Linked DNA regions of Drosophila melanogaster. The protein of the gene in region 2 interacts with the protein of the main gene of each other region in a pairwise test. Each region holds a gene or a part of one and is shown on either strand. Other genes may lie near its edges.

Region 1 (15,206 bases), on a different chromosome or scaffold from region 2:
CGTACAGTCCCCCCTCCCCCCATTCACGGTTGTTTGTGTGGGTGCATTTTGCATAAAAAGACACTTACATGCATAGCGGCAACGACAACGGCAACGGCGAAGCTGGCGACATTTGCGACGACAGTTACTGCCAGCATCTATGTGAAGTTATGCCGGGGACATCGAGGCAGCCGCAGCCAGAGCCACAAAACTCATTGCCGCAACTTACACCGCTAATGGCGCGCATAATCAAACGCCATGGGTGGTGCATACTGCACTGCATGCGCTGCACCAACCACCCACCACCCACTAACAACGCAAGCCATCAAACCTCCCAAGCCCTCCATCTGTACAACCTCCGTATACACACACTCCCGTCGAGTTCTCATAACTTTTGTTTTCTGCAAGTCGCGCTCGCCTTTGCCATCGTCAAGTGGCATCCACATCCGCATCCACGCAGTGCTGCAGTTTGTACAAAAATTTCACGCTGAGCGCCGTTGAAGTTGCATCCTTGCATATTTTACACACCCACTCACCTCGTACCGCCCATCAAGCACACTCACACCGTATATATATATATATATATACATAGCATATATATATACATCCGCGGGCTATTCACTGTCATCTCCCAAAGGGGTAAAAATGGTGCGATGGGTGGCTGTCATCAGGCCTCGGTTTTTGGTCTCAGCATATTTTCGCATGTCATTGCTACCGCCTTTATTTTATTATTATTACGCAGTGCTCTTCAATTTTGCATTCAACGTCACCTTTTGCCACTTACTTTTTTTGCCAAAGCCAGTTGACTGTATTTTCCAATAAGATATTCGCGCAAAACTTTGTAATTCAACGAGGTGGCGGCAACTCAAGTTGGAAAATTAAATGTGCCGTCGTGAAAGAAACGTTGAGTTTCTCACCTTATAATAAAGACTGGTAACCTAACGATGTGCTGGCAAAGTCAATTTCATGTCATTTTACCAGAACGAGCGCAGCTTAAAGTTAAATACAAATAGCTCGACAAAGGTGTGAGGGTGTAAATTGAATTGCAGCAATTTGCGGCATAGTTGGAAAATCACCGAGTAAATTAAAAAAGATTCCAATCACTCGCTCAGCACCAGCCGGGCTAACTGACAACTTGACACAGCAGATATTAAAAAATATCCAAAAACTCTCGACCGAGAAAACATTGTTGCAGGCGAGATTTATCAGATCTAAACCCTTGTAGAAGTCATTTTAGTGCAATTTTAGAGCCTGGAAAAACCCGGTATATATGCAAACGAAAACAAGGCGAGAGGACACAGGACACTATCCTTTTTTCCTCGATTTTCCCTGACTGCAGCACACGTTGCGTATACGCAGCTGACCGCACACGCAAAACACAAACAATGCTGGCGATGGCTGGTGGTTGGGGGTATAAAAAAGCAGTTTCCATCAGAGTTTTGTAAAGTGATTTCGTCATTTTTTCTCCACTCAGCCCGCCTAACTTACCTACCTGTTTTGCCATTCACTCCCTTCATATCTGTCCTTGTTTCCGCACATCCCACATCTTTGCAGACGTACGCAAATGGCCTCCGCTTCGTACTCACCATCTTGGGCGGAACCATCGCCGTGATGGGCAGCCGCGTCATCGGTTATACGTCGGCCGGAGCCCTGGGTTGTGTAACGACCGCCTTTATTGCGAGGATTGGCTGGCGACGGGAGGAGACCAGACTGACGCCCCAGCAGCTGCAGGCCCAGCAAATTGTGAGTATCCTTTGCACTGGGCATTATTTGTGGGCCATCTTGGACGAAAATGGTATAATGAATAATGATGGTGATTTAATGCAGAATAATATAGGATTGAATATGGGCTTTCATTCAAAATCTCCAAGTTAATACTATAACTCACTTATAATTTCTTTCTCTGTCCAGAATCGAAACCAAGTCCAATCGAAACCAAGTCTCTGAGCTGGAGACTTTGGCTTTGCCGCCACTTTTGCGTTTCTGAGTGCTTTTTGGGGTATTGGAGCTACAGTCGCTCTTTTGCTGCTTTCTTTGCTTTCGGGTCAAGAAAAATGTTCCCTGGCAATAGTGCCATTTTTTATGTCTGTACCGCTGCAGCTGTAAAAAGCGCCTGTATGTTCGGGATTTCTGCTAGGTAATTTGTGACATCACGTCCTTGTCCCATGTCAGAGTTGACTGCCGGCTCTCGATTTGTTTCGAGCATGTGTTTTTTGCATCCTTGTTTTTAACATCCTCCTTTCATTTACCTTTGCCTTAAACTTTTAACCCAGTTGCTGTCCAGGGAGGTCTTTTTTCACTCCGCACTTGCACTTGAGTCTTGAGTTCCGAGGAAGCGCCTTGTAAGCCGATTGGCTTGCTTTCCCGGGAAGTAGGGATGGACGTCTTTTAGCTTTTAGAAAACATAATGAATTGGGCCACGATCTAATAACAACCTATTGATTCTCCTTGCAGGCGAGTGTGCCCAAGCGACTGGACCTCATGTGGAAGTTCCTCAAGCCCGTCTCGTTTGCGCTCATTGGCAAGGAAATTAATTTCAACGTGCTGCAGGGCCATGTAATCGGTTATGGCGCATTGTTGGTGCTCGTCGGAAGTTTGGTAATTAAAATGGTCGCTGGAGGCGTGGCTGGTGGTGCAACAAATGCTTGCTCCGGCCACTTATTTAATTTCTTTCTGGCCCTCCGACCAGTTGGTGCGGGGAATACTGCACGGTCCCCGCGGTGTTGGGCACCCCATCCATTCATATCCATTCTGGTCGGAATGGCGACCAAGTGGAGATTCCGGTTGGGTGTGGTGGGTGAACTGAAATGAAAATGTTCCGGGACCGCAATGCAAATGTTACCTGCAAGCACACAGAAAATGCAAAAAAAAAGAAACGGAGGGAGAAAAACATCTAGAGATGACCACTTTCTTGTTCTTGTTTTCAGTTTCGCCTGGCTTTTGCATATTTATCCACATATGGCGGAAATCTGTCGAGAAAGGAACGTGCCTACATTACAATTTCCGGTTTTCCCAAAGCAACTGTCCAAGTAAGTTTCCCGTTCCGCGTGTCATGTTGCTGCGGTTCCCATTCCCATTCCCCATTCCCAATCCGAGTCCCCTTTTACCCTACCAGCCCGTTTTCATTTCCCATTTTCCATTCGTTGTCTCCCGGCCTGGTGGCGCTTTTTATTTCATTGCCGGCCATTTCACTCGCTTGCCACGAGCAGACTGACCATCGTCCTGGTTGTCCTGCTTGTCCTGGTCGTCCTGGCCGCTCTGGTTGTTCTGGCCTGGTGTTTTCCCCATGCTTAAGTTATACACGTATTTGCAGGTCATGTTCTCTTGGCCAGAGACAGAGTCAGAGTCAGAGTCATCGCAGGACCTGCTCATGCTCCTGCTCCTGCGGCTGCAGTTGGCATGCCAGCCTTTTGTTTGCAGTTTAACCGCAAGCGAACATTTTGTTTATGTCGCCTGAGCAGGCGAGTGTGCGTCTGTGGTTTACAGAAATTTAAATGTTACGCTGGCTTACTTACTTCGTCCAAAAAATCCAGAGGAAGACAACCAAAAAAAAAAACCAGGACGGCGGTCACATGTGTGCGTCCGTCTAACTTTGCCCTAATATGCGGTGCATATTTCAGTGTCCACCTTTTTCGTACTGATTTAATTAAAATTGCACAGCAAACTGCATTTAATCTGACCCCGCTGCAAATCACATATCACTCATACGCAGCGGTGGCCGCTGCTTAATATGAGCCCCAGCTAACCCTCTCTCTCTGTCTCTCTTTTCCCCTTAGGCCGCCTTGGGTCCAGTGGCTTTGGACATGGCACGTGCTGCCAGCGTGGCCAGTCCGGAACAGCTTGCGCTGGCCGGGAATTTGCTCATCATCTCGGTGCTGGCGATTATATTCACCGCCCCGCTGGGCGCCATTCTCATGCTGCGGTTGGCGCCATATTGGCTCAAACATGGAGATGCAGTGGAGGCGGTTGACTCTCCAACCACGCCCATCGCCCCCACGCTGGGCAGCACCAATTCCTCGAAGGGGACATAGCTTCAGGTTGATCTGGAGCCGAAACTTTTAATCCATGCCGTACTTATGTAGCCATTTCATTCGTACTTATACTTACGTGTACTTAGGTATTACGCTGTTCAAATAAAAGTAAATGCGAAAAGTTAGCAACATATTTTGCTCGAAGGTTTCAAATTTTTTTCAATTCATTCCCAATTCGATGCGAAGCGCACCTTTTTTTATGGTTCGGAAATTCCCAGTTATTTGCTTACTTGTACGGGGCCGGGCCCTTAAATTTCGGCGAATTAACAAAGTTTGGCCCTAATCCCGCAGGACTAATGCCCCCAAATGGGCAACTTGGCCGACTGGGATTTTATTGTTTTTCCTGTCGCTGCAAATAAGAAAAGCTTTTCGGCACCTAATTATGACAGGATCTGTGTTAATCCCGAGCACCGAGCCCTTGCTAATTGGTTTTATAATTAATTTGGGTGGATTTAAATGGTACTTCGTGTCAATCTGTTGCGAGTTTTTGTGACATGTCGATGACAATCCGTATTAATGATTGACAATTGAACAGAATGTTAATGCGAATAGAGGCCGATTAAGGCGTTCACTCGTCGAGTTGGTCAAGTAAATAAATGGACCCAAATTGATATCGTTATTTTCAAAGCAGAGTTGTCCCCTTTTTCCCCTTTTTCACCCCTTAACGCATTTTAACGCCTTTTGCTTTTGTGGCAGAATCATTTGGCTCCGAGCTGGTTGAAAAAGCTAGAGCCATGGCTAAAGCAAAAAAAAAACACAAAATAATGGCAAAGAGGAAAGAATGCCATTTAATTGAAAAGTGATTGTGGGGCCAACCAGCATCGAGTTGTCCCCCTTTTTCGCCAGGCGATGCAGAATTTGCAATGCAAACGGCTTAGAATGAACTTGATGTTCTGGCCGCCTTTGAAGCTTTTGGTTCTAGTTGCTGCTGCTGCGGTCGCATGACAACCGATGGTACCGGGAAAAAAGAGAAAATTTTTTTCCCCAAATTGTGACCAATTTCGAATCGAAGCAGTGAGGGAAATGTAGAATATTTTTTGGAATTTATCGAACCAACTATGCTTCTAAAACCGATCAAACAAATATTCTCTCAAAGGATATGATTCTCGGATAGCATATTCCATGACACAATTGTAGTTGAGTCTCAATGGTATAAATTATATAAATTTAAAGAAGTATCTACATTTTTCCCAGTGTAATAGCTGAGCTTCAGCTGTGGCCGGTTGAGTGAATGCTGAAAGGAATGAAATTAAAAGACGGCAAAAACGACAGAAAGTGAAAGAGAGAGAGAGAAAAACTTATCATTTTTATTATCCTGCAGCTGCGCATATTTATAACCGTATGTCCCCGTCTCTTTCGCATTCGCATTCACCATGCGATTCACCATCTCTTTCATCATCGGTGGCCTTTGTGTGACTCGAAAAAGAGTTGGGAATTGAAGGTAAATTAGTGTTATTAAAATGGCTGCACAAAAATAATTGCGCAACTAAATGAAAATTTTAATGAAAATTCTTTGGTTTCTTCCCTAGTTCACCTCCGTACCTGCCAACCTGTGTACCTATGTATATACCTGTTCGCTTTTCCGCTCTTTTGCTGCACCGATTGCCCCTGCTTTCTGTTATTAGTTGCATTGTTTCCGCAGTTGATGTCCGTGCAATTAGCATAATGAAAGCAGCTGCAAAAGCTGGCATTTTTACGTTTGTATAACTAGGGTAAAATGCCAGTGGGATAGAGCATCGGTTGGCCGGCTAAGGGCTATACAAATAATGGAGTGCGTAACTGGCGGAAAAGCCAGATTCGAGGGCCGCAATTACGCCACAATTGAGTTATGTTCGCATCACATCAATTATGCTGCCACCGGCATAATCCTTCAAAACTCATTGCTCTTATCGCGGCCATTGAAATGCCACCGGCCATAGATCAACCTTATCAGCGCAGCCAAAGCATTTTCCTGCGCCAAATAAATTCCAACAGTTTATTATTCTAATTCGCATGCCGAATTCCGGGCTGGAAAAGAACGCCAGGCACGTCACTGCCTTACCCACCCAGAAAGCCACCTGAAAAGCCACCCAAATCCAAACCAAGCCAATCCAATCCAAACCAACCACCCACAGACAGCCAACCGATATGGCGAAAAAGGAGTTGTGCGAGTGCCAAACGAAATCAAATCAAAAAGTTCACAAAAATGCCAGACCAAGAGAAATTAAGTTATAAAATTTTAAGGACTATGCGCAGTTTAATTTCCAAATACCATGCCACCGCCAACCGTACCACCAAGACACACAGGTGGGTGGGGCGGTGTGGTGCGTTGTTGTGGTGGTGGTGTGGTTTTTGTTATGCGCCGATTACCATAAAAACAAGCCAAAGAAAGTTGCGTCCTCCTGCTAAACCGACGCTCGGAAACGGAAATCAAGAAAACAAAAAGAATGGGGCACAAATGAAGTCAAAACCTGGCTAAGGCGCGCGCTCCTTCAGTTAATAAAGTTAGTTGCGTTTGGCTTGACGGCGAAACTTTTGAGTTATAAGCGCGCAAATTATGGCTTACAACAAAGCAAAAGCTAAAGCTAAAGCAATGGTTGTGGCGGCAAAAAGCAGTCCACAATGCCCACGAACAAAGGAAAACAATTAACATGACGAAGACACATAAAATTTCCACCAGCCCCATTCCAAATCCTCCTCCTTGATCCCCATAGTTGGGTGCGTCGAATTAGCAGTTGTATTCTCTGGGCTCGAAATGTGCGTCAATCACGTGATGGAAGTAGGCTTCAAAACCTACACAAATCCACCACCTTCACCCATCCAAATGGGCCAAAAAAGAAGGCGTCTCTTGTCTGCGTCTTGTTGTTTTGTTAATTTTAATACATGTACTTTTTATCGCTCGGCATTCCGAGCATTCAAGCTGCTGGCTGGAATTAAGCCATTTGTTAGCTATATCTGTGGCTTTGGCTTTTTCGGCAACTCCTCCTTCAATCCAGGACCTCGTCCTCCTTATCCTGTTTGCTGGAGGCTATCAATGGCGGGGGCTACAGGTCACAGCACATCACAGTTATTTTCGTGCAAATGGCATATTTTTTATGGCTTGTCGCTGGCTGCTCGTTTCTCCCGTTGTAATTAGACAAAATTGTTGACTGCCACGACTCCGCCCAGTGCCCCGCCCATTTGGAGGTAAGCCCCCCCACCCCCACTTCATTCAGTCCCTAATTCCGCCACTCATGTCTGAGTCCACCGATTCCCAACCAACCAAAGGAGGTGTGTTTGACACTTGGCGTGTCGGGACAGCAAAAGTATTATTCCCGAACAGTGACCACTCACGGCGGAGAATGCACTTACAAAAATATGTTCAAAAAACAATTAAAGAAATTTTAATTTATTTCTAGAGGTTATAAGCAGCTGGTCTAAACAGCAAACGAAATAGAGTTAGGGCATGTAAGTTGTTAATTATTTATCTATTTATTTATTATTTTAAAAATGGCCAAAACTCTTTTTATTCTTGCCAACAGCGAGTGCATTGTTTTGAGTCCACACTTTTTTCACTAGTATATATGAAAATACCAGTTTGATTTGAAATGTTTTCAACTCACTGATAACACAATCACTAGTCACAAACCGCAGCCATTTGTTGTGACTGGCAGATTGGTGGTATTTACACCCGAAACACTTATCAAATTGTTCACTGTGTTCGATCTTTGGGCAAAAGCCGTTCGTTTGGGTTTTATTGTGATTATTGGGAGCAGGCATGTATATAAAAACGAAAATTCCACAGGTATAATTATGCAGTAAACACGTGTCACGAAGCCATCGAATCACCAGATTTCCCGACAGCGACCACGATGGTCGGGCAGATAGCCGGGCTGGCAGGGGAAGTCGATCATGGCCACCATCATGGTCTTCTCGGTGGTGGTTTGGCCGGCGACCGGAGGCTCCGTGTTTGCCTCGTGGACGGCCAGCACCTGTTGCTCGTCGAGATCGACACACTGGTTGGGCTGAACGGGACTGGTCTGGTTATTGGGACAGGTGATCCTGTGCAGGCAGTATTTCACACACGGTTTTGGAGCCTGAACATTCGCCAGCTTCTTTTTGCACTTGAACTGCGCCACACAGTCCTTCGGGATTTCGGGAATATTGTTGTTGATGTAGAAGGGTCGGCGGGGCTCCTCTGTGGTCGTCGTAGTTGTGCTGGTTGTTGTGGAGGTGGACTCCCTGTGGAAAATTCTGCCCAGAATTCCGCCCTGGACGGCGGCTACCAGCAGAGCGGCCAATAAGGCCACAAGAAACCGCTTCATCGCCGACTTGTTGGCACTGCGATAGACGTTCGACTACCAACAGTTTGCACGGTTTCCAAAGCTTCGGTCGACGGTCGCCACTCGATAACCTCTGACCCCGAAGCCGCGACTGAGAGATAAACAGACTACCCGCATCCACACACACACACACACACAGTGGAATATGCGAGTGTGAGTATGTGTACATTTAATTCCATACAGTTTTTCGTTCATTTTTGGTCGGCTTTAAATTGGTTTATCGCCAAATTGAATTGCATTTGAGGTGAGCGGTGGGCTGAGCCAGCCACACGCACATTTTGGCAAATTTGACACTGGAATTGAATTATCTGCATTCTGTGAACCGCAAAATTGTATAAATAAATATTAGTCAATTCGGTATTTCATACATGTGCACGCATAATTTTGAGCTGCCATGTGAAAAGCGGAGGGTCAACCAATCTGCTATTTTGGTATCATAGAAAATGAACGGGGCAGGAAGCACGATTGAAAATCGAAACGAATTTTCAATGATAATGTCAATAAGCGAGTGATTTGTAAATTGTTCTTTAAGTGGATTCAATTGATAAGAGTTTGTTTGAAATGCTCTTTGACAAATGTAGGAAACACAACCCACAGCAAGTATGGTCTTGCTTTCTGTTCTAAATCATTTAGTTTCTCTGCATCCTTTATGGCATATTATGGTATATACAAAGAGCCTTCTGGTGCAATGTTATACTTTTGTGAACATTGCTATCGTCTGGGCCCTAGAGCCACAAGTCTTTGAGAGCAAACCTAGGCTACCAAAGAACATGGCCAACATTTTAAACGCATCAGATGTTGCTCATTATTGAAAACAAAGCGTCTGCATCTTCGATAGGCGAAAAAGTAACAAAAGGAGCACTCTGATGACATAACCAACGGACAGTAATGAATCAGCTTATTGGTAATGTGGGGGGCATTGCCTTGAAGTTCGTCAGCTGGTTGCCGAACTATTTGAATAATTGATATTAATAGCTGGCAAGAGCTGTCAAAATTAATTTGTGATGTGTTTTCAGAGCCAGATTATTGATGATGATGATTATGGCCAGGCCCTAATGAAGGCAGCGGCTAATGGAAGTGCTATGGAGTCTGACAATTGAGCCATTCCGGCAATTCGACGGATGCGCCGAGTAGTTGAGTCTAGTTCTGGCCGATTGTCCTGCCGCAGTGGCATTAATTACACTTTGACTCGATAAATTGATTCGGCATGGACGTGCCGAAGTTCGAACTTGGTCCACTCATTGACTGGATGGGATATCGCTTAATATGTATTAACATTTATTGCCGGCGAAAGTTTCGTAGCGAGGGAGCAAAGAATGAAAGCCAAGGGCAGGCCGGAAATTGCCGAATACTGATACTTCCGCCGGAAATAAGTTCAGTTCTTGTTGTTCACGCTGCTTGAGGTGGCTCCCTATCTTCCTGTCTTTCTTCTCAGGAGTAAATTAAGTTAAGGACATTGCCACTCTATCTATCAGTCGATCAAACACGAAGGACAACGCCTAAACGGCGCCTCTATCTCAGCTATCAACGGAAACACATTTTACATTCACATTCGCCGCACAAGGCGACTTAATTGCCGCCCAATCCCCGGTTCACAGCACTTTGCACAATAAACAGATCATAATCTGGCTAAAACTATCAATTTTGAAGTCAAACAGAAGGGAATATCTCAATCGCCCAAGACGCAAAAGGAGTGGAGAGCGACGAAAAACAAATGAAAATGGTTTACAACATAAAAACAAACTGGAGAACGGGACGAAATCGTGACGAGTTCGGGATGTTGGGGGGATGGCAACGATGTGTTAACACTTTGGAGGTTGGGAGAAAGAACGAGTGGTGGCCGGGTGACAATGGAGACAGCCGAAATCCTTCGATGGGTTCTCCAGCTCCTCCGTAGGTCCTGACGACTGGGACGACTGGGTGTCCTTATAGATTTACGCACACTTAGGCAGCATTTACTCAGTCCTCCAACTTCAAATAGTCGTATAAATTGTTCGGCAGGCGCAACTGTAGACCGGGCTTTTTGTTTCGGCTCCTCTTTGTCTTTGGCTTTCGGTTCAACTGCTGTCCGTACGGAGTTTTACACTGGAGAAAGAGCTGGATGGTACGTAGCTAGTGGGTGGGGCATTTCCGGGGCGTGAATGAAGTGCCATGTTCTCACGCTCACGCATTGCCAAGTGCCTGCCGGCCCACATGTCGTATGAGTTTTATGTCCCTCTGTTTATATGACTGTCTCTGTGCGCTCAATCGTTTCTGAGACACATTTATTTGCCCAGCTCGTCGTCGTTGCTGCTGCTTTTGTTAGTTTAACAAATAAAATTAGTGCTATAAACATTCGTTTCTCTACGTGGCATGCAGCATGGCCAAAAGGAAACCCAATTAAAGTTTTGCTTTAAAACAAGTAAAACATAAGCTACTTCTGGGAAATACTTAAAGCTATAACTATATTTTATTTTCATCGAATGATTTCAATTTAAGAGCCCCTTTCCATCTACACCTCTGACTTCTTCCTAATATATTTGTTTACACAATCGCAACTCTTTGCCACTTCATGAGTTTTTCTGCTATTGTGCCACCCACTTCCTTGGGGGATTTATTGCCATAGCGAATCTGTTGGTATTGGGGATCAGGATTCAAGTTTCTGGGTTGAGAGGTCAGAGGAGGAGCTGGCAAGTACGGAAGGAAGGCCAGACAAGGACCGAGCGTGTATCCCATTTCCGGCTGATGACTCGGATGTTTGTTTTAGCGGCGGCATTCCACTGTGCTGCAACTTCCCCAACACAGAACTGCTGCATCGCAGCACTATTTGCACTGGCGATTTCACAAGTATCTATTAAATTTATTTTATATGAGCGGCATATCGATACAAATGCATTTGGCGCACAAATAGCCAGCGGGCGGCATAAAACATAAAAAAAGATGCTTAGAGGTACACAAAACGATAAACACACAGTATATTGGTGGCACAAAATGAAGGTTTAGACTTGCCGGTATCCTATGATTAAAAGTTTGCAAATATTATTTGAAAGTTCATTTTGAACATAGAATAAGTTAATGTAAATTCAACTTCATTTAATCACAATAATTTAATGTAATTATTGTCGTTATTTTAGAAAATGAGTTGTAGTTGTAGCTGTAATAAAATCTGTGTGTGTGTACATAAAATAAATAGTATGTGCCTTCAAAACGTGTCATTTTGTCCTTTTGACGACAATAAGTGGTCGCCTTCAAGGTTCCTTCCATTGAAAAAGAAGGACACGTGTTGAGGTGCCCTTAATGGGACATATTTGGGTGCTAGTGACATTGGCCCACAGACTAGAAGCTTTTTTTTGTCTATACCCTTGATAAAGAGCCCCTTTGTTGGCCATTCAAATGGCAGCCATACTTGTGATGGAATCGGTGTGCATACTTGTATGGCCACTGGTGTATGTGATTATATAATTTCAATTTTAGCCAAGCCGAGCCAGTCAAGCACATGATTATAATTCGCTGTCGGCCAGCCACTATATTGCTGAATTCTCGCTTAGCAAACAGAGAAACAAATTGCTGCGAATAAATTTTATTATTATCGCAATTGAATTGAATTTGCGATAAACGTAAAAATAATTCGCATGTTGCACACGACCGCAGGAGGCGGCGGGGTGAATCGATACGGATTTGGATGGTCAGTCGGTCGGCCCTACGGAAATCTCAGCCAGTAGGTCGCTTTTGGCCAGGAGCATGGTGCATCGAAATCGGAATGGGAATCGCAATCGAAAGCTGGATCCATAGCATGTTCCTGTGTGTTGTAATCCCTGCCAAAGCGATTATGGTTTTTGTTTGAATTTTGAATGTGCACACGGCAGTGGGCAGGACGCAGGATCTGCAGTATTTACATTGATGCACTTTAGCCGCATTTTAATTGGATGCTAACTGCCGCTGCCGCCGCCCGCCCACACTTGACCGATTAGGGCCCAATGGAGTCCGCAGTTACTCTATTTCCAATTCGCATGCAAATGTTGATGGTCGGCGGCGGCGGTGCGATAACAATGGTTTCGGTTTATGCCCGCTAATTTCGCTGCCATGCGGTAAATGGTAATAAGCGCACTTTCGCAGTGGCTGGATGGCCATGAACCGGCAGCCGATTGTTATTTATTTTACTTTTTTCCAAAGGCAGTTTGTCCTGCAATTTGTCACTGCAGCTGGGCCATAAAATCAGATATATATGTATGGACATAGATATTTGGACTGGCGCAAACAAATTGGTGTGCTTTATGGCCGCCCTGTACTGTTTAAACTGCCTGTTGGCTGGCTTAAAAGCTAATTACATTTTATTTGTGCAAATATTTGGACCGACCCCTCTCATTAGGCCGCGCCACGCAAGTTTTCATCCCACTTTCTCTTCGCTTTCTCTCCACTTCACACTTGCCCGCATTCATGTAAAAATCGAGCGGCCATTCAGAGCTCAGCCTCACTTGAGTTCAATTAAAACCGCACTTGTACTTGTTTGCATAACAAACACACTCAGCGCACTCGACACACTCGGCCAACTGGCCAAGCTACCACGGCGCCACGCCCCCTCATTCTGGCCCGCTCGGCCGCCCATAATGCAAAACGAACGAACTCAGTCAAAGGCTGAGCACAGTCATTGTTGGCCATTGTTTAACAATTAACCGCAAATTGAATGCAATTAAATAAATAACGGTGTTGAACCTTTGTGCAAACGATGTAGGCACGTGTACGCGTCGCCGAAGTCGCTCCTCCAGCCCCTATCCATCCTTTTCTCCACACGTATATGTATGTATAAACCATATAGTGTAGTGTGCAGGATCCCTCTGCGTATGGGTATGTGTGTCCTTCATTGCCAGGCCAACGGTGAGCGCAGTGCAAACATACACACACACACACGCACTGCCCGCTGTATGAGCGTATGTATGTGCGTTGTACAAATGAAATGAAATATTACGTATACGTCACGTCGGTCCATTGGCCAGCAAACAATCACACACACACACACACTCGCACAATGGAGGTCCAACTGAAGTTGCCTGCTGGCCTGCGTATTTGCCAAAGTTATTGTTGTACTCGATCCGCAGAACACCAGGCTATATGCCCCAACTATTTTCTTTAAAGAGGATTACGCATATGGAAAATGGCGATGGGTTTTATTACTGTTAGTGCAATTGGTACAGTTTTCATATTTCAATCAGAAATATTATTGGTGATAATATTTAATGCATATTTTGTATATTATTAGACAGTATATTTAATGTACTCACAGCATTTTGCATTCATCACATTATTCCCACAACATTGAACACAATAAATCACAACTAATTTCGATAATGCCTAAGCTATCAGCGAATAAACGATTAATTACTAAAGCATAATTATTTTTATGCTTGTGGTAGTCAAATGTTGATTTATTAGACTCTTCTATTCACCCAATATAGCAATTAACACACTCTTATTGCTTTGAAAATGGAATAAGTAAAATAATTATAAATATTTCACTTGAAGTTCGATTAGTATAGACTTGATCCTTTGATTAATTTCAGTAGATGAATTTTAGTTCATGACAATGCAATTAATTTCAATAATCACATTTCAGATACGAGCTATTACTGGAGACTAGTTCCATGTCATAACTTTTATACCACGAATTAATCCTTTTCAGAGAGTACTGCCTGATTGTACCACTTACTCCCTGCCAATCGCAGTGTATCGCAACTTATTGTTACGGCATTCACCGTCGACAAGCGAAACTCGGCCAATTAATCGCAGCTCACAACAGTGCAGCCGATAAAAAGCCAGGACTCGAGTGCACTTAAGTCGCATAAATGAGTAGTTAAAAGATTGCCACACTCTTTGGACTGATTGATGGATTTGCTTTGTGCCCATTGAGGCCATTCGAGGAGAGCAAGAGCCAATTGCTGAAGTTTGACTTTGAGAGGCCGATGGGCCGGGTGGGGGTGGTGGTCGGCTGGCTGCCCAATTTGACACTTTTTATTGAGCTGTTTTGTTTTGTGATCGGTGGAAAAAATTTCAATTTGCTATCCGGATGGGTTGCCAGGGACATGTGCACGCAATCTAAAACTTGTATGACAACGACACACTGCACTGTAGTGAGCTGCAGTCATTGCTTGTGTTTCAATTTGGACCGCCCGTCGCGCTGATTGTCTATTTGCTAGGACCGAAAAAAAAAGGACGAATAAAAATTGGGAGTATCTAGCGTTGGGTGTATTTTGCAACTGCAAACAGGACTCACCGCGAAGCGAGTACGAAACACGAAACGCAAATGTTAAATGTCAGTAAGACATGCAAAGATACTGTCACACATTGTGGCCTGTTCGATAGCGGTGGCCGGAAAGGATAATGCAGGGCTCCATTATATTTGGGAGCCCTCGCATTGATTGACTTTCGCATACACATATGCGCCGCATATCCTTTTGAATCACAGAATGCTGCCGAAGGGCCGCCGTGCCACACCAGAGGACTGAAGGACAAAAGGACTTGGGCCCGTGTGTGTTATGACAATTTATTGCCTGGTGTTTGACGAAATTGAATAGCCCCGCCGTTGGATATTGTTGCTGGCCGACACATCGCAGCGAGTACGTTGCAGATGGAAATTGGAAATTGAAAATTGTTTGCAGCAAATGGAGTGGCAGGCAAAAAGCACTGAAAGGAACTCTGGAACAATAGTATAATTGAATTGCCTGCCATTAGGACACATCGCAGTCACCTTTGGCACAACGGCTCACTTGTTTAATGATTTCTGAATTTGAGTTGCTCAATCCGGGCTGAAATTTAAATTTCCCTTGAACCATCACATGACCAATCCACCTTCATTTCTGTCAGGTCCTTTCTTATTCATGCACAACTTTCGCATTTCGACAAACAAGAAGTCAAATTGAAA
Region 2 (17,407 bases):
TGCACCTAATACTAGTAGCATAAATGTAAAGACAGACAAATGCAGATAATGAATTCTCATTTCATTTAATTCAAAGCAAAACCGATTCCAAGAGGGCAAATCCAAAGCATGCTTTTACACCCAACACGATTCGTGATCAGTTCCTTTAAAATCTGTCAAGAGGAATTTCAAGTTCGAATGTGAAAACAAAACCAAACGAGGCGAAATCAAGAATAACGACACATGAATTAAATGTTAAATGTAAAATGGTTTCAGAATCAAAAAGAATAAAATATAAATAGAGGATAAACAGGATCACTGGCCCTGTGAGCCCGGAACAGTTCAAGAGTTTTTCTATAGTATTTCATTGTATTATTCATTGAGTTACGACATCGAATGCACTTTATACACAGATCGAGCATTTCTCACTTTATACATTTTTTCAAATTCATCACAATTGAAGCGGAAATAAGGGCAGAATCATGCACACAGCTATTACATGCATACTCACTTATATTAAATATGACAAAATTTATATTTACACACATAGAATGCCGAACTAACGGGGACGATGATGTAATGATGTAATAGTCAAAAGTAGTTGATCGAAAAACAAAGTGGAGCAGAAGTGAAGAACAATTAAGTAAATCATTTATATAATAGCAACAAAAAGGCAAATAACTATTTATAGAAATATACGCTATATACTATACATATGTGTACATTAAATACAATCTATGAATAATGAAACCAGAATGGCGAAGTGTGTAAAATTGTGCATTCGTTCATTAAAACAAAAGGATGAAAGTAAACACCGAAAAAACAATACAGATATATATCTATATATACTCAATCGGCCTTTTCCGCGATGCATTGTCACGCGGAAATCGGTTGAAAGCCCACAACACAAGTAAATGCTATCGAACAAGAAAACTATTAATTAATTATGGACAAAACTATAAATATTTTAATACTTAAAGCATTATTAACAGAAGTATATTTTAAACATTATTTATGCGACTTACTGCAGGATACAACATAAATAAACCCAGCATAATAATAGATGAGTACATACTACAGTAACAATAACTACCGATCGATTAAAGATGCCGCCACCATCCTAGACACCCAAACAGGTTCATTTACGATCAATCTGCTTCAAGACCTAAGATCTCCCATAATCCGGAGCACACTGATCCAACCATAACCAAACAGTAGGAAGGAGCAAAGGCAGATTAGTTAGATCCAGAGTGCGGCGAAAGGCTAACAATAAAATGAGATGGAGGTATAAATCGTAATAACAGAAATATCAACCACCCTAGTATTAATTAATTATTGCCAGTTTCAAAATATGGGCAAGCAGTGTACATTTTGTTTCGTTTGCCAAAAAACACAAAAATATAAAAATTAAAATAAAACTGAAAATAAAATTAAAAACTGGGCGTCGCTGATGGGGCGACATAAGCGCATTGATGATATGGAGGCGGGGACATATAGTAAACGCGAAGCAGGAAATTGGATATAGAGAGTCGGAGGAGATTATAAACCATGGTTATAATTACAACAATTAAATTATTATTAATAATAATTATTATACACAAAAACTTATGCAAATGTGTAATAGGTATATAAACAAAGAACAACTGGCAAGTTAAATAAAACAAAACAAAGCAAAAAAAAAATTATGAAAAACTAAAAAAAAAAATTAACAAAAAAAACACAAACCACAAAAAATGCAGAAATATATATTATATATACTTTATAGACATTTAAACATGAAAACAAAAACACAAAAAAGAAACTAAAAAATAAAGTTGCAAATAATAAACTTTTACCATAAAAATATCATTCAGCCCCATTGTTTCTCTCTCTCTCTCTCTTAATTCTGAATTCCGAATCCAGCGATATGGCAATTCTGGCTTAAAAAATATAAGCCACCTGGCCGAATTGGCCAACAGAACGAAAACGAATCTGATTTGAATGGAAATCGCGAATCGAGCGGCAGTTCGCCAATTCAAGTCAAGCATTTGCATATTGGCTCGCGTTTTGTCGGCGGCTAGTAAACATAGGAAATTCAAATTTTCATGCGAAAATTATGACTCAAGTGAAGTGAGTTAATCCCAGGGGAATACTTGTCGATATCGTGTGAACTTGAGGCAAGGCCAGACAAAAGACTTGGTCTATAGAATTCGCAAATGACATGGTTGTTCACTTGCTTCAAGCCACGTTAACAAAGCGCGCGTGGGCGATTGAAGTGGCAGTTATGGCCATAAATACAAATATGTTCGTTCGCGCAAGCAGATATTGACTGTCAGTGTCGCTCGATAAACATGCTAGCAGATAGCAGTGGGAAAAACACCAGCAGCAGCTGCTGCAGACTCGCAACTGCCGAATAGATGTGCAATACTCAAGAGCTCCACTCCGCTCTGCATCCGTAGGTTGGACTCCGCCGCCGCTGGCCGATCTGATGGTGATGTAAGCTCCGGTTCTGGGTTGCCAATTACCGCCGACTGCCGTCTAACCGCCGTCTAACCAACTGTAGAATGTAAAGCTTCTGCAGGTCGCGAAAAACTCGCCCACCCACTGCCAGCGGTACAGCGTCATCATCATCGACTGCACAGTGATCTCTGCGAAGTTCGATCTTGCACGCGATGCGAAACGGTCGAGAAAAGATTCTTTCCAGCTAAAAGCGGGTAGGTATTATTATTATTATGATTGAGTGATCTGTTCAATAAGGGGTCTAATCGTCTTGGGACTGCCAAATGAGTAACTTGAAGAACGCTGCCCCTTAAGGCGTCTATTCGCATTTGGATAGTGACTTGTGCATTGTGCTTTGCATTCTGATGATCCGAGTTTCGTCGGTTTTCTTCCCTTATTTTGCGCAGTGGAGAAAGTAATTAGTGATCGGACCATGACCGAATATCACTGAGTTACTAGCATTCAGTTTGCAAATCATGACATAAACAATTTATTTTAAATAAACCAAACGCAAACCACCCACCCACAGTGCCGTCATACTTATCTGTATGTAATAATCCCATTTAATAATTAATATAAAAAACCATACCGTGTCATTTCACATCAATCATGTTTAGAACTTGAATGTGAGTGTGATGAGACAATTGTCTGTACTTTATTATAAATTACGTTTGTTTTCAATACTTTTTGAAGGCTTAATATTAAACATATATTCCAGTTTTTGGTGTTAAAAAAAGATTTTACAATTTTTTTTGCTTTGCTTTTCCATTAAATTAATTTAATTTTATCAGGGTGATTTTCTTTTTTATTTTAATTACTCTCACGAAATGCCAATCTCAGCATTATTTTATTTCTTACTCTAATTTCTCTCTGTGCACCCACTCCAGTTAGAAACGGAGTTGACCTACTTTGCCATGTGCGCTGCCCAAAATAGAGGATCCGCCTCGATCCGTTGTCTATTTCGGGAGGTGTTTTTCATTTCACTTATTTTCCTTTCACTACCTTACCCGAAAAATCATAATCCGAAAGAGGCGCAGGCGATTCTTAGTTGCCCTAACCCGAAGTAGCCAGGTGCTATAAATAAAATGCGATCGCGCATATACGCGTAGCTGCTAGGAAAGAGAGCTATAAAAAACAAGGGGTTGCTGATCGAACTGGGGATACCCTCGTTAGTCCACTACCTCTGCTCGGCTGCGGGAGAAGCTGAAACGAAAGCAATTTGTTTTCACCCTGATCCGTTGATACAATAAACAAGTTGGCGCACAGGCAGCCCATGAATGAAAAACAGCGAAAAATAAAATTCGTTTTTTTTTTGGGCAGAATTTCTTGCTTCATTTTGGCTGCCGCATTCTGCGTAGCGTTGTGGACCTGGCCGAGTGGTGAGGGGTCTTCTATATGGCCGGCAACAAGTTGGATTTTTCTAAAAATGAACACACACGAAATAGCTTCGTCTTTGGCGTTAAATACGGACCACGACAACCATCGGTGTCGAGCAGCGACAACGCATCTCCGCATCTTCGAAGAGCGGCGGAATTTGATTTGATTTTCACTTGCCCGACCGTCCGCGCTATTTTCCTATTTCCCTCTATTGTGTGTGGGGCGTGCTCTCCGCGGCGGTCCATCTAAGGAGCATATTCCGAAGAAGCGATGCTTTCCGCGACTCGGCTTTCCCGCAACTAGTTGCGTTTTGGATGTCAACACGATGTGCACGCGCACAGCGTCGATTCCCGTCGACCAACTGCCACTGGCAGCGTGAAGTGAACTGTGGACCGTGGCGATTTGAAGGTGATCTCAATCACCCGGCATTACTAGGACAGCTTGAGCCAAGACTGAACCGGCGAGGGAACCGGAACAGAAGATATTCATTTTTCCAGGGCACCTTAAACGTACAAACGATAGAATAGCAAGGTAAATATGATAGTTCTCGATTAGTAATCGTTATTCTATGTATGTGGATACAGCAAATACCCTTCGCCATCCATTCAGGCCGGGCCTTTAGACCTTTTATGGGCATGCTTTTCGCCCAGGGAATCGAATTTCATGCACAAAAACAACATTTCGGTTTCGGGGCAAAAATCGTTGTGCGTTTGTGTGTGTTTCGCCTGAGAGAGCGCCACTTGCCAGTTCCTCTTGGACATTTAAATAGAATTCCCGTGCTGGCCACCGATCGAGAGAGAAACAGAGATTGAGCACCCTCCTCCTCCTCCTGCGTCTCCGTGAATGTGTTCCTCTGCCGGCGAGCATCAAAATAACAACACAACGTGTTTTTCGTGTCTCTCACATCGCGTATACGCAACGTATACCACCATTTCATATTTACTTTTAACTTACTACGGTTAAAATTACAGCTTAGTTTAGATGTGTTTTCCATAGTATTTTCCGGTAAGCGTTTGGAACATTACACTATTTCCTTTTATTACCGTCTATGCCAGTCAATGGTTCGTATACGCAATGTGTTGTCTAGTTTGAATTTCGAAACTGTATGAAAACAAGTCTTTGTAATAAGTGATGTAAATATGAAAAGTTTTATATTAATTTAAAAGCATATAAATTGGAAGATTATATAAATAATAATAAAACTATCTTTCTCTTACTTTTTTTTAGCCGAAATCAAGATCAGCATGCAAGAACTTACTAGGATCTGCGATCTTAACGGAAACGCAGACAAGGGAGAGTTGGGTCCGGCTACCAACAATCTGGACCAGCTCCTACCCAGCATAAAGCTGGAGCACGATCCCGACTTGGAGTGCTGGCTGCCCACGCCCGAGCACCCACAACTCCGTCTGGATCTGAACAGCACCCGTCTGCTGCTGCAGGGCTCCGACGACCCATTGATCTCGCATGGCGCCACCAACGATGCCCACGACGAAGACCATCCCTTCAAGACGCTACTGGCCCGCAAAAGTGCCGGCCACGAAACCCCACACAATGGCACCTGCAGTCCACTGACCAAGCAGCAGCTGAAGGCCAATCTGCTGATGGGCAGCCGGAAGGCGAACCGACAGCCAGCGCAGGAGCAGCCACACACTGCTCTACCACAAAAGACAGTTAGGCCAGTGCACAGCCAGGGTCAACAGCGATCACGTAAGCGAGGCGATGCGGGAGCCATGAAGCTTCGCTTTCACCACCAAGCTCTGCCCGCCGAGTATGCCGCCCATTACGAGGCCACGCAGGGTCGCCAGCAACCAAGACCAGTGCTACCACCGCCAGCTCCTCCGCCGAGTCAGGCTCACGAGAATGTACGCAGTTGGCTGCGGAAGATTGCCGAGATCCAGCGCAATGCCGAACGCCAGCAACAAAAGCAGTCTGCCGCTCCTCGAGTTGGAGCACCAACTTCGCGATCTTCACCCATCGCAGCGACGTCCGTGGTACCAACAAAAAATTCCGAGGTAACAACTGCCTCCAAGCGGAACTCCCTAAAATACGCAGACCTGCCGTACATGGGTGAGATTACGCTGGACAACTACAAGCCACGTCGTGGTCGGAAGCCCAAGAAGGCGGATATTTGTCACCTGATCTACAAGAACTACGGCACCATTGTCCCGGCATCTGTGCCCGCGATGCCGGTCAGTGCTGCTCCGCCGCCGTCTACCTCCACGATTGCGGTGCCACCTGAGGAGCCGCTGAATCTCTGCCTGCGTGACCAGAGCGGCGATCGCTACTCAATATCCAGCGGCGACAGTGAGAAGCCGCGAACTACACCAAATACGACCACAGCTACGACAGATTGCGGCAGCTCCTCGCATCGGACCACTCCACTTAGTACGGTAAAACCTCTGACCTTGGAGCTGGCAGGGACGGAGGAACAGCCTATGACAGCAGCCAAGTTGCTTCTCCAACCAGTTGGACTGTACTATCAGCAGCTCGTCGAGTCCTGCAGCCTGGGAGGTTTGCCTGTGCCCTTGGAGACCATCGAGAAGGACAACCAGCTATCTCTTAAGATTCCGATACCAAGCGGATTCTTTGCCAATGAGACCACGCCCCTGGCCATGCGGAAACGAAAGCGGTCAGCAATCTTTATCCCGCCCATGCCCGCCGAGCATTCGTCGAGTCCCTCGAACGAAGTGAGCATCTGCAAGTTTAAGTTCACCGGTGGTGCCAAGCCCACGCTGCAGGAGAAAAAGATGCTCTCGGTGGACGCGGAGGGCAATTACCGGTATTACAACGGCACAGGAGACAAGACCATGCGAGGCTACGAGTTCATCTCCCGGGATCAGCAGCAGCAGTTGCAGCAACACCAGCAGCCGGCACAGGAGAAGCTCTACGTGGATATTCCAGCTCCATCGACAGACCTCAGCCCAGAGTTGCTGCACATATCACCGGAGTCACCCACCTCAACGCTGCTCCTGCCCAGCAGCAACCATCTGGTGGCCGCCGTAGCGCCCCATAGTCCAGCCTCCCAGTGCTCCAGCTCCCAGAGTCCCATGCCCGGAGCAGTGTGTCCCGGTCACACGCAAAGTAAGTCCTCATCAGAGAGCGAACGTAAGCGAAGATCCTCCAAGCGATCAAAGCAGCGCGAAAAGCTGGAGAAAACCTTCAAAGAGAAAGGCTTTCTCATCCAAACCCAGCAGCTTCAATCCGCCGAAGGTGCTACCTATTGCAAATTTAGACAGCTAAAGAAGTTCACGCGCTACCTTTTCCGCAACTGGAAGGATCACATACCCGAGAGCGATCTGGCCAAGCACCAAAATGCCTCGCGGGAGGATAGGCTGCCAAATCTGGAAACCCAAACCGCCAACCAGACGACATAGAGCTGCGGCCAGGACATTCAGGAAACATCCACACACAGCACTGCCAAAGATTTAAGTTTAAGATCAGCTAATGGCCGGCCCAGCTTCGGTTGCGGTTGCCAGTTGAGGGTGGAGAACAGCAACCCATGCCGATTCCGTCCATGCGGGCTGTCCAACAACGCGATCAATGATCCTCAGCCACGCTTCCTAGTCGTTCATCAGTTTTTTTAGTGCCTAATAAAATGTTATTGTTAACAAATAAACTCAATGTTTAACCATATGCAAATGTATATTGTTTGGTTGTAAAAGGCATCGTAGTATGTATTTTACAAAATATCCGTCAATACAGTTATGTGTTAGTACAAAAGATAAACTCCAAAATGGGCGATAAGTCTATAGGGGTTATGCTCGCTCTCAAGGTCGTTTCAATGCCATTGCGAATACTTCTTGTTATCATCGTTATATGCTTATTTAGAAGATGTCATTACATCCCGTTTCCAGATTAGCCTAAATGTTAGTTACAGATAATATAAAAATTTCCAAAATGTTTGCTGGTATGCTTAGGTCGACGAAAGAATTTTGACTCGAATTCATTCGAAAGATGTTTGGAAGTTTGGGCGTGGCCTTGATAAGATAAATTCTCACTAATATTGTCAATTTTGTGGATTTGGTTGCATAATTGGTTCAGGTGGCAGTTCATTCAGTTTGGGGATCCTTGGCCAGGTTTTGGGCTTACAACTAAAAAACATATTTGCTTTCAATCGATTTGTGCTCCTTTCGACTTCGTCTTTAGTTCGAACTCATGGAGCTCTCATGCTCCTTAGCCGTATCAGCTAGATATGTCTCCGGCACACTGGCATTCATGGGACACACGTACTCCGTCCAGTCTACGTCACTCTGGCTCTTCGAGCTCTTGCGACGCTTTAACGAAAACTGTGTGCGTTTCACCGGCTTCAGCTTAGCTGTAATGCTTAGCGGTTGGTACCCGGGTGCCGATTCGGCATCTCGCTTACTCAAGATCACTGGCCGACCGACTAGCTCCTTAAAGTGCATGGCCAGGTGGCGACGCAGCAGGGACTTGCTCGGTGGTATCGACAGCAGGTCGGCAAGCAAGTCAGCATTGAAACGCGGTTCATAAAGCATCAGAGCCCCGTGGACACCAGCACCACGCAGATTGGGCGTGTATTCAGACAGGTCGATGGTCTGCAGCCATCCCATAATGCGATGCGCTGTCCACAGCTCCACATTGTCTCTGTCGGGAGTGGCTGCGGCTTCATCTTCACTGACAACTTTAATGGAGCGTCGAATTAGACCTTCCGCGTTCCACGATAAGCGGCGCATGCATAAGATTCCCGCTCGCAAGGAGGCTATGTGCAAACAAGAGCTGACGTGCAATTGGGAGAGGTCCTCGAGGGTGAGACGATGCAGCATTCGACCGTCAATCTTGGCCTGCATAAAGTAATCTTTATACTGTGGCAAGCCGATGTCATCCAGCCAGCGTAGAACCCATGTCACATCCAAGCTGGATGCCTTCAGTGTCAGGTCATCAAACTCCTTCCCAGTTAGGTCGTCGATGGCCAACAAGATTTTTTTCCGATGAAGTGGCATCTTTAGGTTTAGCTCTCGTTCGATGTCGACAGGCGAGGCGGTGAAGAACGACACTGATGGATTGGCATTCAACCACTTTCTGTAGGCGGAAATTGTATTTAGTAACTGGGTTCTTCTTGGATTTTGATGACAAAACTTACCGGCAATTGTCCTCATAGCAGCCTAGACCCATGTATGCCAACCAATTGCACACCTCCTGCGCTCCCCAGGTTGTCCAATGTTTTTCATTCTCACCGAACAACGGAGTCTGAGCACTCCACTCAATTCGACCGCCTGCCGTAGCTCGGGCTCCTCCTCGTCGAAACTCGGGCTCTGCCTGCTCCAAGGCGGTCAGCTCGCAGTTGCTGCTGTTGCTGCGTCGTAGCTTACCAAGTATGTTGCGCAAGCCACGGGCAGATCTTTCCCTCAGCTTTGGTGAGGGTGTAAACTGCGACATAAAGCTGGAAGTCATTGCATCCTCCGCTTGATGATGATTGTCATCAATCAAAATGTGTTCGTTCGAAGCAAAGGCCACGTTTCGCTGCTTGCCGCTGCTGTTGGCATTGACGTCTAAGGCACGATTGTTATTGTTGTTCACAAACTTGCCATGCGATCTTGGCAGGCTGTGGAACTGCGGTTTGATTTGGTGCCGCAGTGCAGAGGGCGGTGTCTTGGGCGATCCCATAAAGGCCTTCTGATTAATGTTGCTCAAACTGCCGTAAGGAATATTGGCGGAAATGGCGCTACCTCCATCGTTAGCCTGCTCTAATGCAGTACGGTGCAGTTTTAGTTCACTTAAGGCACTCATTAGCTCCAGCTTTTGCGTCTCGAGGGCGGAACTAGAAATCATCTGTCGTTGCAGTTGCTCTTCCTTGGTACACAACTGCTGGCTCTTTTCCGTTATCAGACCCTCCAGCTCGATAATCTTGTCCGCTTGTTCTGACACTCGTTCCGCCAGCATCTGATACTGCAGGGCTAAGCCCTCCTTATCCCGTTGCAGGCGACGCATACGCTCGTCGGAATCCTGACGAGGTATGTGCGTCTCCAGCCAGTCGCTGATAATGGCCGCCGTGACAGGATCCGGTGCTGGAGCAGCCAGTCCGACCTAAAGTGATAAGCGTAAGTGTAAGCCCTCCGTTTCTAGACCTTATCATAGTCAGTGTGACTCACCTGTTGCAGGGCGAGAGCCAAAGTCTTAGCTGTTGACAAAACATTAGTGGCCGAAATTAAGTTGCGTTCGCTGAGTGTCAGGGAAGACCCTGCTCCGGATATAGAAACGGATCCCGCCTGTGTCGCGGTACTCGATATAAGGCCGTCCATTTGCTGTAATGCTGCCTCGAGCATTTTGCTGCCCTCCGCCACAGTCGCCATGAAGTCCAAATCAAAGTCTCGCTAATCCCGGGTGATCGATGTGTGGTGTGCTTATTGCGCGACTAGTGCATTGTTATGTAAGCAGGTCAGGCAGGGCACGTCATTTTGCACTGGTTTAGGGGAAAATGGCATTTATGGTTATTAATTTCAGCACTAATTGGGGAAAACTATCACGAAAATAGAAGCTGCTGCACCGTTCTGCTTCTTCTTCTCGCACACCAGCCCAGCCACTTATCGATAGTCAGCGAACGCAGAATTGTGTGTAGGAGCAACATCCGATAGTTTGCTAGATGGTCTAAAGTCTACAAAACAAATTTTAAAACAAAATTAATTTTAAGTAACGTATAAAAATGCCTAAACACATTTTAATTACATTTTTTGGGGACAAAGTATGCAATATATCTAGATGTGTACAGCTATATTTGGTTTTCCATACCCGATATCTACTGTACAAAAAAGATACCATCACTAATAAGCAGGTGGAACGGTGGAGTCACGAAAGATGTGTCATCTCCAGCCAGAGCCACAACAAAACAAATATTAAGGATAAAATAACAAATATCTGAAATGAATCGCTTCGCTTATGTGGAGGCCCGTCTGAGTCCCAATGAATCCTTCGTCAGCCGCGACAACAGGGTAAAAATATACGATGGCGACCAAAAGGTGAGCAGCTAGTGAATTCGCACAATACGAAACCGGGTCTTTATTAGACTCAAATCCTTTCAGACGGACTTTGAAGACGGCGAAGTGGTGCTCACCACACACCGACTGTTTTGGGGTCGCCCTGGAGAGATTGCCCGGGCCGCCGTAACACTTTGCCTGCCACTCAGCTATGTGATATCCGTCAGCGAAGAGACTACTGCCTCTAACTTCTTTGGCCGCAAGACTCGCATAATCATGCATCTGCATCCTCCAACGTCGGACAAAGGACCCGGCCCACTGGACACCAGTCGCGCCACCCACATCAAACTGTCGGGCAAGAATGGCCTGAGTGTCGAGTTCCACAGTGCCTTGCGGGAGACTCTAAATGCCCGCGTCTGGGAAATCCTCTTGACCAGCGAGATCATCATCAATGGCGTGGCCAGCAGTCCAACCTTGGAGCCTGCCAACGACAGGCTGGCCCGCATTCAGAAGAGGACAGGAATTGGGGGCATCGAACGGCATTTGGAGGCAAAAGCCAAGGCCACGGATGAGAACATAGCACTTGCCTTTCAGGATCTCAGTGTTCTAATGGCCATGGCCAAGGACATGGTAGGAGTGTCCAAGACAATAAGCAGCAAGATACGCAAACAGAAGGGAGAAATATCTGACGATGAAACGGTGCGTTTCAAATCCTACCTCATGAGCCTGGGCATCGATGATCCCGTCACGCGGGACAACTTTACCAGCAATTCTGCCTACTTCAGTAGCCTGGCCCGACAGATTTGCGAAATGCTGCTGGATCCTATCGAGGTAGGAACTGTATTAAAAAGTTATACTTTGTATTGACACTTACTTTATTACCCCTTAGGAGCAAGGTGGCATGATGTCCTTGGCTGATGTCTACTGTCGTGTAAACCGCGCTCGTGGTCTGGAACTGCTATCGCCTGAGGACTTGCTGCACGCCTGCGAGCAGCTTAGTGGTCCAATACGCCTGCGCAGCTTTCCCAGTGGCGCTAGAGTGCTACAACTGGAGTCCCACGATGATGCCCTAATTGCCGTTGACACATTGGAGAAGGTGGAGGCTGCCGAGTCTCTGGCTGTGGAGGAACTGGCCAAGCAGCTGGGAATTTCACTCCTGCTGGCCAAGGAGCGATTGCTAGTGGCCGAACGTTTGGGCAAGGTGTGTCGCGACGAGTCCGTAGAGGGACTGCGGTTCTATCCAAATCTTCTGCTAGGCCGGGACTAATTTCAATGTGAATGTGTGCTTGTTGTTATGGTTAATAAAGATATTTGACTTTTTATTTAAAGCAGGAGTTTTGAGTAGAAAGTGAATATCCTTTAAAGGTCCTTACCATTTTCAGTTCCATCGCAATGACAAGACTGAGTTCTTAATTTCATTTCACACTTTATTGATTAACGGAGCTTCTGCTTTGACTTTGTCGGCGCTTCATTAAGTTATTTTGGTTTTGTCGTGATTATTTTCATTTTTGTTTAGTATTCTCAAGAGTTTTATTCGTAATCAGTTTAATGAAAAGTTTCTACAGTCAGGTATTTTGATAAGCAGTTATTGAATTGAAATTACACATTTATATTAATAGTGGTTTTCGTGTTTACATATATATAAATATATTATGCTGCTGCTTAGATTGCTCCGCATTACATTAATAAATCTTTGAATTACGTTTCAATAACCATTTGATCAGGCCACATTACCGCGCATGTATGTATATAACTTTCGTACTCAGGATTTTGGCCAATTGCTTGAGTAACATTTTCCCACTTCGTTATGCTTTCAATCATTCATTCGGTTTACGTAGTACCATGCTTTCATTTTCGTTTATTCATCTTAAATCACATTTATTAATTAATATTAACATTGAGTAGTTTATGCTTGAGTGTGTGTTGGATACGGTAGGGAGTACGGGTAGTGGTGAGGTTAATTTGTGTTTTATTTCTTGCTGGCTGAAGAGGTTTATGCAGAGGTTTACTTTAAGTGCTGCGCAGCTGAATCAAACAATGATAAACAAGTACAGCACTCTAGGCGGTAGTAACATAATAAAATCGTTACTTAAATAAATAATGTCCATCTACAAAAAAACTGGCTTAGGTGAAAAACAAATATGCTTTGTCGAAAGCGACACTTTTACACATTACTCGACTCGAGTTGGCAACTTTTCCATCGTCCAAGCTCATTCAGCTGCTCCTGTCTCTAGTTTCATTGTACATTGAGCTATTACAAATAAATTGTTTAAATAAGTTTTGACTTTTGTATATTTTGTTTTGCTCTTCGTTTTTAATGTATCTGCAATTGGAAGTACTAAATTGGTTGAGGCTACGAATTGTACATTACAAACTAAAATGTGTGTGTTTTATCTTCGTTTGTGAACTTAAGCTAAGCAATCGATTAAATAATTAGCAATAATAATTTTAATAGTACAATATGAATATTTGTAATTGCTTAAATGAACCCCTACCCCGGTTCATATGCTCTCGCAGCTAAACGTAATCGTAATAATTAGAATTTCTTTACAATTAATTTTTACGTTTCTCTTGATTTTTCTCCTCATATTATTGCTTTCCTTTTGTTACCGTCGACTCCTCCCCTCCCCTGATTTACAGCTTAAAATTAGCACGCTTAAAGAATTAGTCTTAGGACTTAACGAATTGGAGTCGGGAGCCAAATAGTAGTAGTTTAAATGGCCATTGGGCGCGGGACATATTGAAACAATTTCCATATATATATATAATATATATGTAATATATATGCGTATATACAACTAGATAAATATTATTAAGACCTCTACACCTAATTCGTTTTTGCCGGGGGGGGGGGGGGGGTACACAATTAACACAAGCGCAGTCGGTGGAGCCGGGCCAGACCGATTGTGTTTCGGCTCCAATTCCAGCTCCTAACTAGGTTGCACAACTATGAGCTGCCATGCTGTTGCCCATGCAATTTACACTTACGATTACACATCAAAACATATATAGTTATATGGGTATACAATGTACGATAGTAGTGATAGTTAGGAGGTAACCATAAACTATAATATCAAGCAATACACAACGCGTAGCCTTCTACTTGTTCGCTCTATAGCTTCATCTCTCAGTCGTCCCAATAGTCGTCTCAGTTCCAGGCAATTCACATCCCTTACTTGGTCGCATCGGTGGTGGAGCGCCGTCGATTGACCGCAGCCTGTTGTTGCTGCTGCTGCTGCTTCGCAGCCGCCAGAGCTGTTAGAGTCCTTTGACTGATGGCTCCCGAAGCGGTGGTGGCCCTACCGGCGATCTGAATGTGCTGCAGCTGCTGTTGCTGCTGCTGCTGCTGCTGGGCCACCTGCACTTGGTTGGGACTGGGCAGTGTTTGCGACGACACCGTGGCCGTGCTCTGCTGGTTGAGTATTCGGTGCTGTTGCTGCAGCTGCTGTTGCTGTTGCTGAGGCTGTTGCTGCTGTTGCACGGGCGCCTTCACCGTTTTCAATTGCAGCTTCTGTGCGGACATCACAATCGGAGTGGTGGTTAGGTTGGCGCTGCTGGTCACCACATTGGCAGCTAACAGTGGGAAAAACATATGCGCTTGTAATAGTCGACAGAAATGAATGGATTTCTACTAACCGTTCACGGGTGTGGTGGCGATCTTAAGCGTGGAGCCACCTATCTGCCGCTGGGTGGTGATGAGCTGCCTGTTGGCCAATTGCTTGGTGCCCACCACCTGGACGTTGCGGGCACGCGGCTGTATGGTGCCCAGCAGCTGGATGGCCGCGGTGCTGTTGCCGCCCGACTGCGACTGAATCGTCTGCTGCTGGACCGTTTGCTGGGCGATACCTATACCACCACCAACATTTGAGGTACGTATTGTTTGAGGATTTAGTTTCTGTACACCGGCACCGACTATTTGAGCTGTAAGCAGAGAGAGAGCAGAACGTGGGTGTGCGGGGAGATTTTTTTTGGTTGTTGTTTTAGGTTGCAATGAGAAATGTTGAAGGTCAGAGGTCGGGGAGCCGCCAACTTGGTCGCCAAACCAGTACGTACAGTACGGTTGCGGCTATACATAATGGACCCTCTAATCTCAAACTGATGGCATTTCGGGTTAGGACACACAAGACACACAAATCGGATTGGATTAGTTTAGTTGCATGAGGGATCGAAACGAGATGTTAACGGGTTTGTGTTGTATGATGTTGTAAACGAGAAACGAAACAGAAACAGAAAAGAACAAAATTAAGCATGTTCAATTAAAAGAAAAGAGTTACGTATAAATAATATGGTCCGATTATAAAATAAAGATTCCCACCAAGAAGCCAGATCCAGAGTCACAAATATCTCTTCGGCCTGGCCGAAACGACAGTGCAGCATTCTTAGCAAGCGGCCTCTGCACCAGGAACGCATTTCTCTTATACTCACCAATGGGAAGGGTGAGCATGGCCGTTGTGGCCCCTGATCCTCCACCGCCGCCCGCACTGCCACTGGTGCTGCTTCCCGCCGTCACTCCTCCGCCGGAGTTATTCGTAATGACGACCGTCTGTGTGCCAGGTCCCGACGATGGCAGGCTCACAATGGTGCCCGTTGGTGGGGCATGTTGCTGCTGAGTCTGCTGATGCTGCTGCTGGTGGTGCGGCGCCGACTGAGTCTGCAGCGTTATGGTGTGTGGCAGTTGCTGTTGTTGGCTGGAGACTGGAACCGAGACCAGGACACTTCTCTGTTGGCCCTGCGCTGTGCCCGCACCAGTAGCCGTATTACCCGACTGTTGTTGCTGCAAACTGTTACCGGAGAACTGCAGCGAAATGGGCTGTGTGAAGCCGGGGATCTGCACCTGGACATTCTGCAGGCCGGCAAAGTTAGCCATAGCGCCCTGCAGTTGAGACAGATTGATGCCCTGCAGATTCAAAGTGGCGGTGGTCTGTTGCTGCTGCTGCTGTTGTTGCTGCTGCGGCGAGGCAGAGGGCTGCGGATGCGGACTAGACATGGGCGAGTGTATCGAAGATGTGGCGGGAGAGTGAACGATGGTTTTCGTGATGAACTGCTGCGTTGGCTGCGGCTGTTGCGGTGACATGTGCGGCATGGAAACGGCGGATACGTTTGATGTGACATTGCTTAGGCGCTCCAGCAGGGCTTGGTTTTGGTGCGTCTGCGACGACTGCGAGTGATCCGAGCCCGATGGCGAGGGAGTTGCTGCGTTGGTCAGCAAGGCGGACAGGGCTCCACCACCGCCGCCACCACCACTTGAAGTGGACGCTAGATTGTTTGGCACAGCAAAGCCACTGGCATTCGAGGCGTTCGAATCGCTACCTGGAGAAGGAGCGGCCATGCCCACCACAATTGCGTTGGGCGGCGCTGTGGTGCTATCTCTTCTCAGGGAGCTCAGAATGCGCTGCTGAACTGGGCCCGTTGGGCTCTGAATCCATGCTGCCGCCGCCGCGGCACTGTTGCCCGACGAGATCACTGTGTAGCTGGTGGTGGGGTTTGTCATCACTGCGGGCGGCGAGGCCAACTGCGAGGCAAGCGCCGACATGGACACTCTAACCGTCTGGCTGCCGTCGCCTGTCTGTTGGTGATGCGACTGGCCGGCTTGGTTGAGGTTGACCGCTATCAAATTGCCCGCGGAGTTTGTTCGAAAAGTTGTCGTTGTGGTGCCTCCGCCACCAATCTTTCGATTGGCGTTCAACAGATTTTGCAACACTTCGCTGGACTGCTGCTTCCGCTGCGTACTCACCAGCGTGGGTGTGCCACGGGTGGTCTGCACATACGTAGCGGTGGCCGCATCGGCAGTGTTTGGCGTCGACTGTTGCTGGTGCTGCACAAGCGTCAGCGTCTGCGGTTGCTGCTGGCCGGTGGAGGTGGTGAACGTTCCACTGGCCACGGGTGTGCTGGTCATCGCAGCTGGAGCACTGTTGAGCAGGTTTAAAATTGACGCATTGCTGGAGTTCTTGAGGGTTGTGGCACTGGTGCTACTTCCGTTGTTGTTGGTGCTGCCGCCTGACCCTGCAGCATTATTGTTGCTCGACGTGTTCCCCGCTGTAAGACAATTTTGTATTGTTATTTAGCATATTTCCCATCGAAGATTCCCACCGAACTTACTTTGCTGCTGATGCTGCTGCTGGTGTTGCTGCTGCTGTTGTTGCTGGTACTGGTTGGCAGAGTTCATAATGCTGTTGACTATGGCGTTTATTGCAGGATTCGGATGTATGGCCGTATTGTTGTTCATATTGTTATTGTTATTATTGTTGTTGTTGTTGTTACTAGTGGCAGTTGTCTGTTGTTGCTGTTGCTTCTGCATAATCTGTTGCTGCTGCACTTTCAGCTGCGTTTGCTGCGGAATAGGAGAGTACATAAAGTTATTGACAAACTAGCAATGCTTAATTGACCATGTTCTACTAACCAGTATTGGCACATTTGAGTTGAGCTGGGCACGCAGCGCTGAATTGGCCCCCACCACGGAAGTGCCCTTCACCTGCTGTTGCTGCTGTTGAATGGTGGCGGGCTGGATGGTTATGCCCGAATGTTGCAGCGCCTGTGCCAGCTGTTGCGATTGCTGCTGTGGCTGCTGCTGTTGCACAAGGACCAGGGAACCATTGCTGAGGCTAACTTGGTGCGTTGTTGTGGAGGTATTGCTGCTGCCG

Evidence for each region.
Region 1: the proteins of Liprin-beta (region 2) and Gbp3 interact in a two-hybrid assay, tested with the Drosophila melanogaster proteins (one large-scale study listed by BioGRID).

What each region holds. Positions count from the first base shown.
Region 1 is NT_033777.3:22,970,395-22,985,600, reverse strand, and holds Gbp3 (Growth-blocking peptide 3), read right to left. Parts: upstream 8,332-15,206; 5' UTR 8,294-8,331; coding exon 7,814-8,293; 3' UTR 7,437-7,813; downstream 1-7,436. Other genes in the region: Nha2 (Na[+]/H[+] hydrogen antiporter 2), read left to right, coding at 1,534-1,722, 2,434-2,577, 2,907-3,008, 3,756-4,010.
Region 2 is NT_037436.4:13,506,330-13,523,736, reverse strand, and holds Liprin-beta (Liprin-beta), read right to left. Parts: upstream 10,484-17,407; 5' UTR 10,340-10,483; exon of another isoform or gene 10,256-10,339; 5' UTR 10,146-10,255; coding exon 9,945-10,145; intron 9,880-9,944; coding exon 8,936-9,879; intron 8,875-8,935; coding exon 7,977-8,874; 3' UTR 7,461-7,976; downstream 1-7,460. Other genes in the region: CG10710 (uncharacterized protein), read left to right, coding at 5,079-7,208; Vps36 (vacuolar protein sorting 36), read left to right, coding at 10,713-10,808, 10,872-11,597, 11,656-12,033; Spt20, read right to left, coding at 13,939-14,339, 14,403-14,687, 15,192-16,802, 16,866-17,097, 17,167-17,407.